2 linked regions of the Kluyveromyces lactis genome follow. The protein of the gene in region 2 purifies or fractionates together with the protein of the main gene of each other region. This does not show direct contact. Links are inferred from orthologs where the notes say so. Each region holds a gene or a part of one and is shown on either strand. Other genes may lie near its edges.

Evidence for each region.
Region 1: the proteins of CPR6 (region 2) and URA2 purify together in Saccharomyces cerevisiae (affinity purification with mass spectrometry; 5 studies listed by BioGRID, with this or other methods). This does not show direct contact. The link is inferred for Kluyveromyces lactis from reciprocal best matches to the Saccharomyces cerevisiae genes CPR6 and URA2.

Annotation. Positions count from the first base shown.
Region 1 is NC_006041.1:1,367,086-1,374,651, reverse strand, and holds the start of URA2 (bifunctional carbamoylphosphate synthetase/aspartate transcarbamylase), read right to left. Parts: upstream 3,912-7,566; coding exon 1-3,911. Other genes in the region: TRK1 (Trk1p), read right to left, coding at 5,726-7,566. UniProt on the Saccharomyces cerevisiae protein: Multifunctional protein that encodes the first 2 enzymatic activities of the de novo pyrimidine pathway: carbamoylphosphate synthetase (CPSase; EC 6.3.5.5) and aspartate transcarbamylase (ATCase; EC 2.1.3.2).
Region 2 is NC_006042.1:501,844-508,339, forward strand, and holds CPR6 (peptidylprolyl isomerase CPR6), read right to left. Parts: upstream 1,911-6,496; coding exon 792-1,910; downstream 1-791. Other genes in the region: SCM3 (Scm3p), read right to left, coding at 2,249-2,851; COA4 (Coa4p), read right to left, coding at 3,124-3,378; SEC31 (Sec31p), read left to right, coding at 4,164-6,496. UniProt on the Saccharomyces cerevisiae protein: PPIases accelerate the folding of proteins. It catalyzes the cis-trans isomerization of proline imidic peptide bonds in oligopeptides.

The sequences.
Region 1 (7,566 bases), on a different chromosome or scaffold from region 2:
TAGTCATCAGGAAGTTTCTCCACTGGGTAAGGGGTTACAGGAATGCCCATAATGGCCTTAGTGGCCATTTCAATCAAGTTAACACCAACAACTTTCGAGATGAATGGGAACGAACGAGATGCTCTAACGTTACATTCAATAACCTTAATTTCGTTGTTCTTAGCAATAAATTGAATGTTATATGGACCAGTAATCTGCAATGCTCTACCGATTTTGGCAGTGGCTTCAACGATTCTACGAACTGTTTCAGGGTCTAAATCTTGAGGAGGAACAATTAGTGTAGCGTCACCAGAGTGAACACCTGCGTTTTCAACATGCTCAGAAACGACATGCATAATCAATTCACCGTCTAAGGCAACTGCGTCCATTTCGATTTCCTTAGCATTTTCAATATATTTGGTGATAACAACTGGATATTCACGAGAAACTTCCACGGCCTGGTTCAAATAAGATTCCAAGTCATCCTTAGAATAGACTGTATTCATTGCGGCACCTGATAAGACGTAGGAAGGTCTGACTAAAACAGGATAGCTTACTTTTTCAGCAAAATCCTCGGCCTCATCCATGGAAGTCAATTCTTTCCAAGCAGGTTGGTCAACATCGATTTGATCCAACATACGTGAGAACTTATAACGGTTTTCAGCAGAATCGATCATCTCTGGAGAAGTACCTAGGATCTTAACATTTTCACGGTGTAAAGACATGGCAATATTGTTGGAAGTTTGACCACCCATAGAAACAACAACACCAGCAGAGCTTTCCAATTCGTAAATATCCATAATTCTTTCTAAGTTAATAGTTTCGAAGTAAAGTCTGTCAGCCTCATCATAATCGGTAGAAACTGTTTCAGGGTTGTAATTAACCATGATTGTTTTGAAGTTATTTTTACGCAAAGTTCTAACAGCGGTAACAGCACACCAATCGAACTCAACAGAAGAACCAATACGGTAAACACCCGAACCCAAAACCATAACACCGTGGTCATTGAAGTCCAAATCGTGAGCAGCTGCATTGTATGTTAGATACAAATAGTTTGTGTGTGCTGGGAATTCCGCAGCAACAGTATCAATTTGCTTTACAAATGGAATAATGCCGTATTCTTTTCTTAGACGACGAATAGCAACTTCATTCGAATTCAAAAATTTAGCAATTTGTCTGTCTTCGAAACCTAATTGCTTGGCTTGCTTCAAAACCAACGCTGGTAGGTTCTCCTTGGACCCATAAGAACTGATCTTGTCTGAAAATTTGATCAAGCTATATAGTTTGTTCAAGAACCATTTATCAATATTGGTTTTCTCCCAAACTTGATCGATAGAATAACCAAATTTAGCAAATGCATTAGCAATGGCAAAAATTCTCATATCAGAAGGATTACTTAACTCATAGTCGATATCAAGTTCATCATCAGTTTCACTGAAACCAATATTAGAGTATTCAGTAGATCTGATAGCTTTTTGAATCGCCTCTTCGAAAGTTCTACCGATGCTCATGACCTCACCAACAGATTTCATTGAGGAAGAAAGCAGAGTTGAGACACGAGTGAACTTCTTCAAGTCCCATCTTGGCATCTTAACAACACAGTAATCTAAAGAGGGTTCGAAACAAGCACAGGTAGAACGAGTGACCGAGTTCTTGACTTCGTATAAAGGAATGTTTAAACCCAACTTAGCTGCGGTATAAGCTAATGGGTAACCAGTGGCCTTTGAAGCTAGGGCAGAGGAACGAGATAGACGAGCATTGACTTCAATGATACAGTATTCTTTTGAAGTTGGATTTAATGCATATTGGATGTTACATTCACCAACAACACCTAGATGTCTAATGACGTTAACTGCGGTAGTTCTTAACATATTGTAATCCTCGTCTGATAGGGTTTGGGATGGCGCAATGACAATGGAATCACCAGTGTGAATACCTAGAGGATCAAAGTTTTCCATATTACAGACAGTGATACAATTGTCGAAAGCATCACGAACAACTTCGTACTCGATTTCTTTCCAACCTTTCATGGATCTTTCAACCAAAACTTGAGGGGAAGAAGCAAAGGCAACGTTACACAAGTCGACCAATTCTTTTTCATTCGAAGCAAACCCGGAACCTAGACCACCTAAAGCGTAAGCTGCACGAACAATGACGGGGAATCCGATATCCTTGACAGCCTCTAGAGCTTCCGCAACAGTGGCAGCAGCAGCAGACTTAGCACATTTCTCATTAATTTCGTCCATGGCATTAGCAAATAGTTCACGATCCTCAGTGGTGATGACAGTATCGATTGGAGTACCCAAGACCTTGACACCCAAAGTTTCGAATTCATCTTTCATTTCAATACCGACTGACAAAGCAGTTTGACCACCAAATGTCACGTAAATGGCATCTGGGCGTTCATGTAAAATTACTTTCCTAACGAATTCAGCGGTAACAGGCAAGAAGTACACTTTATCAGCTAGACCCTTAGAGGTTTGAATGGTAGCGATATTAGGGTTAATTAAGATCGTGTAGATACCTTCTTCTTTTAAAGCCTTGATGGCTTGAGAACCAGAATAATCAAACTCACCAGCTTGACCAATAGATAACCCACCGGAACCCAAGACTAAAACTTTCTTGACATCTTCTCTAGGATGAGCAGCCAAGTTCTCCTCAATGTTACCGCCTGGGAATTCAACTTGCTTCAATACACCAGTTTGCTTGAAATCTAGAACAGATTGAATGAAGACATCGAACAAGAATTCAGTGTCTCTTGGACCTGGAGTAGATTCAGGATGGAATTGAACGGAGAAGTAAGGCAACTCTGAGTGATAAATCCCTTCATTGGAACCATCGTTAGCGTTGGTGAACAATGATTTCCAGCCATTGGTCAAACTAGTTTCATCTACAGCGAAACCATGGTTTTGAGAAGTGATATAACATCTACCAGAGACAGTCGAAGTACATGGAATATTGTGACCTCTGTTACCGAACTTCATCTTCAAAGTTGAGGCACCAGAAGCACGAGCTAGTAATTGATGACCCAAACAGATACCGAAGACTGGGGTCTTCTTCGCATCTAAAACTTTAGTCAATCTATCGGACACTTCCTGCAGAATGGCTGGATTACCAGGACCATTAGAGATGAACAAACCGTCATATTCTTCGGTGGTGAAGTCGTAATCCCATGGAACAACCAACAATTCAACACCACGCTTGACGAAACAACGGATTTGGTTGTACTTCATACCCACATCAACGGCAACAATTCGTAAAGTTTTTCCGTCAGGACCTTGAACAAGATCGATGTCTGGGTGGTTTGGAACGAAAAGCTTAGGAGCCTTTAGGGAAACCTTTGCCACTAAATTATCAACATTTGGATCAACCCATTCTGGAGTTTCGAAGTAAGACATCCATTCAGCAGAGTTGGCATCCTCGAAAGAGGTCCCGGGCTTTTGTAGAGCGAATCTACCCAACATGGAACCAGCTTCTCTTAAATGTTTGGTCAAGCTTCTGCTATCAATACCGTAGACAGCTGGAACGTTGCTCTCTTTCAACCAAGTACCTAAAGAAGATTGAGCTAACCAGTGAGAATATTCTTCGGTGTAATGAGCAATGACTAAACCAGCAACATGAATTCTGTTGGATTCAAAATAACGTGGTAATCCTTCCACGTATTCATCCATTAATTTACGGTCAGGGACACCGTAGTTACCAACCAATGGGAAAGTGATAACTAAAATCTGACCCTCATAAGAAGGATCTGTGATGGACTCTGGGTAACCGACCATACCAGTTTGGAAAACCAATTCACCGGCTGCAGTGGTTTCGGCACCAAAGGAGTAACCTTGTAAAGTAGTTCCATCCTTTAATTCCAAGGTAATCATACGATCACCAGTAGACTCCATTGGAGGGGTGATAGGAGCAGTAGGAGTGATAATAGACATAACGGAAGTTTGTATTTTCTTAAGCGTAAAGGGTGTTTCAAACGATGAACTAACCTATTGGATTTATTTTCACTTCTTTTGCTTCTTTAAAAGCAGCAACGGGGGGGGACTTAAAAGTAAAATAAAACAATGAGGTTTTTTACCCGATTGGATCCTTTCTAACTATGTGTAATAATGAAAAGAATCGCACTAAATGAATGGCAATTGATGTTTAAGTTTATAATTGACTCTAATTTTACCTCTCTTAGTTATAGGTAAGAAATTAATCAATTAAGTGGTTTTTATTCCTTTAAAATTAATGTCTAATCTTAGATCGTAATTTTTTGTTGAAATTAGAACTGTTAGTAAATCAGGCCCTGATGTTCGTGTGAACTTCCACGCTGTTTAAACACTTTCAGCAAAAAACTTCGCTAGCTTCTTCTATTGATTATTTCCAATCTCTAATTTAACCAACATTTATTCGTTGGTCAATCTTAAAAGTGACTATTAATCAAATTTCAATCTGTTTCTTTTTCGTGCATCCATCCAATTTTACTTTTTTCTATGGTACCTTCGTAACTTTCAGGCTATCTTCGAGCTACGCAAAGTTTTAGGCCTCGTAAATTCGACAAGAGTGAAGGCGCAAGTTTGAATCTCATGCAGTAATTATAACGTCAAATTGTTGTTACCCTGCAAAAACGCATTTGCTGGCCGTTCGCTGTTGAAGAAAAGACTGCGATTGCAAACTAACAATCCGATTTTTAACTTGGATGAATAAGAGGAAGTAGAAAAAAAATGTCATAGAATAGAAGCTTAAAGCATTGCTTAGTAGCCACTTAGAAAACCAAACAGAAAACAAAAAAAAAGAACATACTAAAACGAATAGTTTCAACGACTGATACACGAACTTTCTCTGCTATTAACACTCTCTCTATCTCTCTCAAAGGTGGGACTTAGAGGAAAGGGGGGCGGCTGTAAGTTTATTTTTTAGCTGACTACTGAGAACAAGAAGAGACTAAGTAATAAAAGTATTTAAAACAGAACATATAGTAATGGTGAATGGAAAAAGGAATACGATAATTTAGAAACAAAATGATTATTCTAAAATATACTGAGAGAATAATGAGTATAATAGTACAGTAAATACACCGAAACTAAAATACTTCAAGAAAGTACAAGTAAAAAAAAGTTGTGACAGATCTTCAGAAGTATCATTAAAAGGAAAACGATATAACAATTCAATGGGATTCGTACCCCTCCTTATATACAAAATCACTCTTGATGGGCGGCTAGGTGAAGAAAAAAAATTTTCTCTCGGTTGTTTGGCTGTAGGATCTCTAGATGCGATGAGATGAGTTTGGCAAACCGCGGAAAATTTTTTAGATGGAATTGTTTCTTTTCGATGGACATTTGTAGACAAATCGATAAATGTTTCCCAAAAATTACAGACATGCAGAAAAACATTATGGACATAGAATCCGTACACCACTGTTCGTTTGATGTGACTTGATAATGACTCGTTAGGGCTTCCAATACCTCCGACGGTGATGTCACCGTTTTCCATCGGATATCAGGGTAACAGTGATGAGATCATCTCGATGCAATGCATACTATACGGCAGTAACGCGCATTCTGGGACAAAGAAAGCACAATGAATAAGGTTTGATTACTAGAAAGTCCATAATGTGTCTACCTATTATGTTTTACCCATGATTTTACGAGTGTTCAATTCTGTTCTTCAGTCAGTCTGGAAATTAGAGGTGATAGAATAACTCATGCTATTTAATAGCATATTTAATTTAGGGTGTAGAATGTGGTCTTTTGTACCATCGTTGCTATCTGGGTGAGCTATTCAGAGATTGCATTGAACCTGTAGAATGTGGTGAATGCAATGAGGTAGAGGAATTGATGTGATTGAAGATTGGTCCTGAGCTTGAAGTTTCCGTATTCTTGCTGTTTGAATTGCTGTTACTGTTGCTATTACTGTTGGAATTATAGTTCGAATGGTCGAATGCTTCCACGGTATTTGCATGTACACCATCCAAACCTTTGTGCTCAGTAATACCCGATCTCAGATCAAAGGAATCTCTAAACACGTGATATTGGTTGGGGGTCATAGATCTGTTGTCATAATGGTGGTTTGAGTTCATGCTGTGCATTGGATAGTTGTTACCATCCGAAAATGTTTGTTGTTGTGATTCATTGTTAAAAGATTGGTTACTTTGCGTGGACATCATGCGGTCCGTTGTAATGGTATCATCTAACGATCTAGACGTCATGGTTCTATGTGGCCGTGGTTGATGACCCATACTAAACGCAGAGGTTAAACCGTGCCATACGGAACGTGAACGGTCACGGAACCGGTCTATATGTTTGTTACCAATCGAAGATGTCGAATCAGCGACAGAGGTGGTTCTGTTATCATGAGATGTAGATCCATTCAATCCTAAAGTTGTGGGTCTCCTAGAGTGAGTCAACTCATGGAGTAAATCATTTTCCTTCAATTTCGCACTTGGTAAGATGATGGCACGATCCAAAGTATAGGGCAAACCTCTGTGTCTTCCTCTTATCAACATTGCAATGATGACTAGTTTTGATATAGTTGTGAATTGTCCTGAAAACGATTGATTGGAGCCAGGGTATCCAAGGGACAATCCAACGGTACCATAAGCACTTACAACTTCGAAGAGACATTGAAAAACGGTGAAACTGGGTTTGCTTGGATCTTGGATCTTCCCACCTTCGCAGATACAGATAATAAAGAGACCCAAAAACATATACCATAGATCGAAAGACAATTGTCTACGTAAATGTGCTCCAATGAAACTTTTTGTATTCTTTTCCGACCCATCATCTTCTTGATTTTCTCCATTCCCGTAAACACCAAGCGATTGCTCTTCGTAGACATTAGTTCTTCTAATTGAAATAGCTAAGGGCATCACAGAAACATACATCATTAACATGTACGATACCTGTACAGATGGATGCAATTGACTTAGATCTAGCACGGCAAACCCTGCGGTTCTTGTGCTAACAGCTTGAAATAAACCGTTAAGTACCTTGAATCCAGCAGTTAGATCTTTTACAACATCTGTATTCAAATCCAAAATGATGAATAATATCAAATCAATAGCATTCATTCCAATGAGAATCAGAAAAAGCCACCATGTAGCCGCTTTAGGAAATAGCATTGTGAAACATCTACGAGGATGGTCTAATAAAAACCCTAGACTATCTTTTCTCAAGGACAGATCTGGACTTAGTTTGAAAAGTATCCAAATAACGAAACGGAGAAAAATTGGAAATCCAGTGTTACCAATAACAATGAACCACATCATCCAAATTAACGTGTATATTGACTTGTGAAATGATATCATGGAGTTCGGAGTCAATGTTAATCCAAGATTACCAAATGCACTCATTCCAGTCCAAAACCCCCACCATGTTGGCGAAACACCTTGAGATCTAACAATTTCTTTATAATTGTTCATAGGTTGTATCCACGCAGCGAATATGATCATAGCTAAAATACTAAAACCGAGATAATATATCGACAAAAGTAGACATAAAACCTTGGTGGACCTATATTCAACCCCTCCTAATTCAACTTTTTGCGATTCTGATAATCCAACAAAAGTTGAGTTTCTTCCAATTTTAGGCTCATATGATAAATAAT
Region 2 (6,496 bases):
TGTAATTCGAAATCTGTTTATTGTTTTGTAGATAGCACAGTTCGCTCAATCCCTTGAATACCTCTATTTTTTTGGTAGTTTTTTTCTGTTAGTTTGCAAGTGCAATAAGCGCTTCAAAGGAAATTCGTTACTTGTTTCAAAGGTTGATTCCCAAAAATACCTTAAATCCAAGATAGGAGTGCAGGCTTATCGGATCACGATTAAAGCAGCAGGCTTGCAATTTCCGCAAAGTTATGAAACTCCTTAAATGTAGCTCAATAGATTGCTTTCAGATGGTTTATCCACACGATTGATAGAAAACACTAACAATCTTCAAATATGCTGTTTATTTAACGTAACGTAACGCACTGAAACGACAAAGAAGTAGCTAATGTGGTAGCCAAAAGATCCTAGAGGGGTACAGAGTTTGGTGTTTGGAGTGGGGAGGTCCAAAATGCCGGTGTATGAGCGGTGACTTTTCTCCTTGAATGAGCTGTTGCATGTCAAGCATTGTTTTTGGCCATTGTTTTCTTTATTCTTTGCCACTTGAACAAAGTTGAAAATTTTTGGATGTCGTTTAGTACGCAATACGTATGAAATGATAGGGATCTGCTATGCATTCGAGAATAGCGGAACGTACTTATGTCCGTCATCGCAAGAAGCATACTATTTAACTGATGGTTAATTACTTGAATATTTCCATCTGATTTTACTTTGATAGGTGATAAGGATTTTGAATAAGATGTGAGGAAATATATAGTCAGTACTAAGACACGTATCCATTTTATTTTGTTTTATAAGAGGAATCGAAATTAGGAAAACATTTTGGATAATGACTTCTTCTGTTTAGCAATCAACTCCTTTTTGGCTTTCTTGGCGTCTTGTAAAGCCTTTATAATTGCAGTATCATGTGGTTGGTATGTAGTAGCCAATTCGAGGTCTGTCACGGCCATTTCTGCGTTTTTTGTGTAGTAATAAGCTAAACCACGGCGATACAATGCCTTGGCCTTGGATTTATCGTCTGTGTTGTCAGCATGAAGGGCTTCAGTGGCGGCGCTAAGTGTTCTACTGTAATTTTTACTCTTGAGAGACACCAAAGCGATGTTCAAGAATAAGGATACCCTTAATGCGTCAATTTTTTTAACATCCTCCTCTGGTAAATCTTGAGGGAAGTACTGCTTAAGCATTTGACTACTTTTTTCATATTTCACAAGGGCTACTTCAAAATTTTTCTCCTTGAATTGTTTAGTACCGATCTCTTTTACTGCTTCTACAGCGTTCAAGACACTATTGACGTCGTTGGGATCAACCTTCGAATCGTCTGTTATATTTTCTTCATAATTGTCACCATACGCATCAGTCGGAGTCGCTTCTGCATCTGCAGGAACAGTATAATCGGATGGTAACACACCACAATCCTCAATTTTAACCTCTTTGGCCGGCTTATCAGCTTCATCTGTAGCATTATTTTCTATAGTTCTGACTAACCTTTTGCCCTGGATCACTTCACCGAAAACAACATGCTTACCATCTAAGTGTGGAGTTGGAACGCATGTTATGAAACATTGAGATCCATTGGTATTCGCACCAGCGTTTGCCATAGACAACAAGAATGGCTTATCATGCTTCAAAGTAAAATTCTCATCTTCAAATTTCTCTCCGTAAATCGATTCACCACCAGTGCCGTTGAAGTTAGTGAAATCTCCAAATTGACACATGAAAGACTTGATAACTCTGTGGAAGATCGAGCCCTTGTAGCTCAATGGTATATCCGGTTTGGATTTGGCAAATCCCGAGTTACCTTCACAGAGTTTTAAGAAATTCTCCGCCGTCTTTGGAACAACATCAGAATACAACTCGAAAACAATCCGACCAGCAGGTTTGCCCCCAATCGAAATATCGAAAAATGTCTTAGGTCTTGTTTCACTCATATTCAAATTCAATGAGCTAACTCGTATGTGTACTTTTTTCTCCACGTAGGTAGAAATAATGCAGGGTTAGTTTGCTTCTTCAAAATAACAACCGCTTTGCCGTAACCTACCTTTAAGATCAATGATACAAGCTGGGTTTGTCAAGAGAGGTTACTAATGGACTTTACTCAATTTATACTTCTTTTTCAGCCGTTCTCATTGTACTTTTGTTGTGGTTTTTTCAAGGCTAGATCGATAAAAGATGGAAAGCTTCGAATTTGCTAGAAAACCTTTAAAAATATATCAATACATGAACGAACCGTAAACACAGTGATAAATGAATATCTGAAGCGCCTGAACTAATTACTTTCAGGATTAGGTCTTAACTTCTTCATATAAACTTCATTACTGTTATCTGCTTCAGAGCCAGATCCCTCATCTAAACCATCGGCTTCGAGACCAGATTCAGACTCGGACCCTGTTTCTGAATCGTTAGTTTCGTGATCTTGCCAAACCGATGAATTATATGATGAGTCTTTAATATCCATAATGTCATTCAGAACACTTTTATAAGACACTGAACCACCATCTGGTAGCGAACTATGTAGAACTGATTTTTCGTTGCTCAAGTTTCGTAAATGGCCATTATCTTCTATGACTTCTCCAGTTTGTAAATCTATTACATCACCTTGATTATCTATACTTTCATATTTTTGTATGATCTGGGACCATACGCGTTTCATATTCTCGTCTGCTTTCTTATGACGCTCCATAACCTCTTCGTCTGACAATTTAGGAATTAATCGATTCTCTTTAGACATGATGTAAACCACACCATCTCGAGTAATTTGTTTTAGATTCTCTTCTTTCTTTGGCTCCTCTTCGCCTAGCAAATCCCTTAATGCACCTGTCAATCTTCGAAGATTAGCCTTCTTCTTACTATTTGATGGTCTTTTAATCATCAATAAAGCACTATTGCTGTAATTCTACTTGGAAACTTCACCTATGGTCCGGGAACTGGTTAAATTTCGTTATGTTCTGGTGTAAATGTTGTATTGAAACGATTATTCATTATCCTTAACTAAAATATGTCAATTTAAATGTTGCGCTGCGTAGACTAAAAATATTCAGATGGGTATTCGCATATACAATTAAATGGGTCTATATACAATATGTGGAGTATTTCGACAAAGCTTCACAGTGAAGGATCTTTTTACACCTGTAAATGCAAATCTCAATGTTCTTTTGCATCGACTGTCCCCACTCTCTGGTCATTACCCTTGGATTGCCAACAATCTTTGAACAGTTTCATTTCACCAAGACACTGTCTCCAATCATTAGTCTCTGCATGGCAAAGTTGTAAAGCTAGATTCTCTACGTAACAGCCTGTGTTCGATATTCTCTTGTCCCAGGCATCAGGATCTTCTTTATCCATATCCTGATACTCCGCTAATGCTTCCTTGTAGTATTTTGATTCTCCTGCAGACATAATTGAAAGTATGAAGCTACGACAGAATAATTGCTATTGACTCGGTCAACGTATCACTGTAGACTGTGATAGTCGTTTCAAGATTAACTGTTGCATGTACTATTGCACTTATTGTATTGTATTCTACTAAATTAACCATTTATACTTCAGTGTTTTTACTTTTCCAATTAAACCTTGCTCTCGATTGTTCTTTATGGCCACTGAACTAATTTTCCGTTCCAAAAGCTTGATTGAGCTACAAAAGGTTTAATGACTATTAATATAAGAAAAGAAAGCTGTGTTAAAAAACGTCAGAGATCCCCAAACTGCAATACAACACTATTGATCTATGTAATAAACGACCAGGCTGCGGTTTGCGTTGGCGTAATTGCACCGGGAGATCACGTGATATAAATGCTTTCAAGATTATGCAATCTCCAGGCACACAACATATTCAGTACTTAGTGCGGGATACCTACTATAAACTCAATAATTGTACAGTAACATAGGTAGTAAGATCCCTTTTCGAGTATACATTGTCCATGTTGTTGTCCCTTTGGATGGTGTCTCGCCTAATTTTGGGCCAGATCTCGACTGCAAAAAAATAATTTGCTGAAGTTTTTATAAATGATGGGAACTGAAGAAACCAAAGAAATTGAAGATTCAAAATATGTAAACCGAATTTTAGGAAAACAACAGCTTGTTCTGATCTTTTTCAGAAGAATAAAAGGTGGCTAAACAGTGTTACACGTAGCATTGAGTTTGCGCATCAATATTAGCTAATACCCGTGTGATAACTTGAAGCAATGGTGAAGCTAGCTGAGTATCCGCGTACGGCTACGTTTTCATGGTCTCACGATAGGGTGCCAGTTTTGGCGACTGGTCCTGCATCTGGAGCCATTGATGCTGATTTTTCAAGTACTTCGACATTAGAACTATGGTCGCTATTGTCTTTTGATGGGTCTAAACCTAGTGGATCTGTTGTCGCTGACGGTAAGTTCAACGATTTGGATTGGTCGGGCGATGACAAAATAATTGCTGGTGCCTTAGAAAATGGTGTTGTTGAGTTTTTCGATCCAAAAGCCTTGAAATCTGTTGCTAAGATCCATAAACATCAGGGTCCTGTCAAGACATTGAAGTTCAATGCCAAACAGAACAATGTTCTTGTCTCTGGTGGCACTCAAGGTGAAATCTTTGTTTGGGATTCAAACAAGATCGGATCTTCAGATTATTCTCCTTTTTCGGCTGGTATCAGTAATACTCCAATCGATGAAGTTTCCTCGTTGTCATGGAACCAATCGTTGGCACATGTGTTTGCATCAGCCAGTTCTTCAGGGTATGCATCTGTGTGGGATTTAAAGGCAAAGAAACAAGTTTTGCATTTGAACCACAGTTCCTCTACCACTGGTATTAAGGTCCCATTGACGGTTGTTGACTGGCATCCAACCAGCTCTACCATTATTGCAACCGCCTCTAGCTCAGATACAGAACCTCTTGTCCTAACGTGGGATCTAAGAAATGCTCATGTACCATTGAAAGTGCTATCACAAGGACATTCAAAGGGTGTTTTATCGTTGGATTGGTGCAAACAAGATGAAAATCTATTGTTATCCAGTGGTCGTGATAACACTTCGGTGTTATGGAATCCGCAAGAAGGCTCCATCTTAACTCAGTTCGCTCCACGTGGTAACTGGGTCTTTAAATCCAAATTTGCTCCTGAAGCTCCAGATTTATTTGCATCCGCATCCTTTGATAGTAAGATCGTCGTTCAAACGTTGCAAAATTTGAGCAATACCTTGGATGCTCAGGCAAATGAGAGTAAGCAACATGCTTCTGAGGATGAATTCTGGAACAATGTAACCTCCAACTCAGTTGATGACAAACCTAACACTGTCAAGATCCAAGCCCCAAAATGGTACGGCAACAAATCTCCTGCCGCTCAATGGGCATTCGGTGGTAAGCTGGTTAGAATATCCGATGATGGTAAAGGTGTCAGTGTAGTAAAACCTTGTATTTCTGGACTGGAAAAGAATCAGCTTTTCGATGAGTCCTTGAAATCCAAGGACTTCGTGAAATTGATCAATAAGAGATTATCACAAAAGATCAACGCAACAAACGAAGATGACTGGAATTTACTAGAGAATCTATCTATGGATGGAACTGCACTTTACTTGAAAGATGCATTATCATTAGATGATGCCAAAGAAGACATCATCAAAAAGTCAGAAGAAGATGGTGCTGACTTCTTCAACCAACTAAACGACAAATTCGTTCCCGAAGGCGCTTTCAAGCTTGATTTTTCTGAATCAATGAAACCACTCACTAACTTTTTGATCAAAGGTGATTTGAAATCTGCTTTAAATCAGGCTTTAGAGAAGGACTTGTTATTAGAGGCTTTGGTGATCGCTATTACTTCCAATGATGCCTTGTTGGCGGATAAAGCGAAGAACGCCTACTTTTCCAAGCATTCTGAGCAATCTGGGTTGGCAAGAACTTTATTCTCTGTTGCTCAACGCGATGTTGAAGATATTGTTACAAACATCGATGTTTCTCAATGGAAAGATGCTGTTCAGTTCATTTTCAACTACACCAAGGAAGATATCTCAAAGAAAAATTCACTTTTAGTAAAATTAGGTGATAGATTACTACACGAGGGAAACAGAAAAGATGCTATTTTATTATATTTGAGCGGCCAGTCCTTGGAAAGCATTGCGTCAATTTGGCTGAAAGAATTCCCTGAACTTGAAAATCAATTGACGTCTCAAAAGGACACCTTATACGAGGCCCATCTGGAATGTTTAACTGAATTTGTGGAAAGGTTCACCGTGTTATCTGACTACCTTGACAAAGGTACTGTTAAATTAACTAATCAAACGCTAATCTCAAAGTTTTTGGAATTCGTCAATGTCACAGCTGCCAATGGCGATTTCGAGCTTTCATTAAGATTTTTGGAAACTTTACCGGACGATAACGAAGAGGTTAAAAGTGAAAAGCAACGTGTGCTGATTGCCTCCGGTAAAACAAGTACTACTAGGTCAACAGAAAGGACAGCAAACAGTACCCTACAATCCAGACAAGGAAGATACGGTTCAACTTCCGTACCAACTGCCAATGGTGCGCCTCGTTTATCAAACTCTGG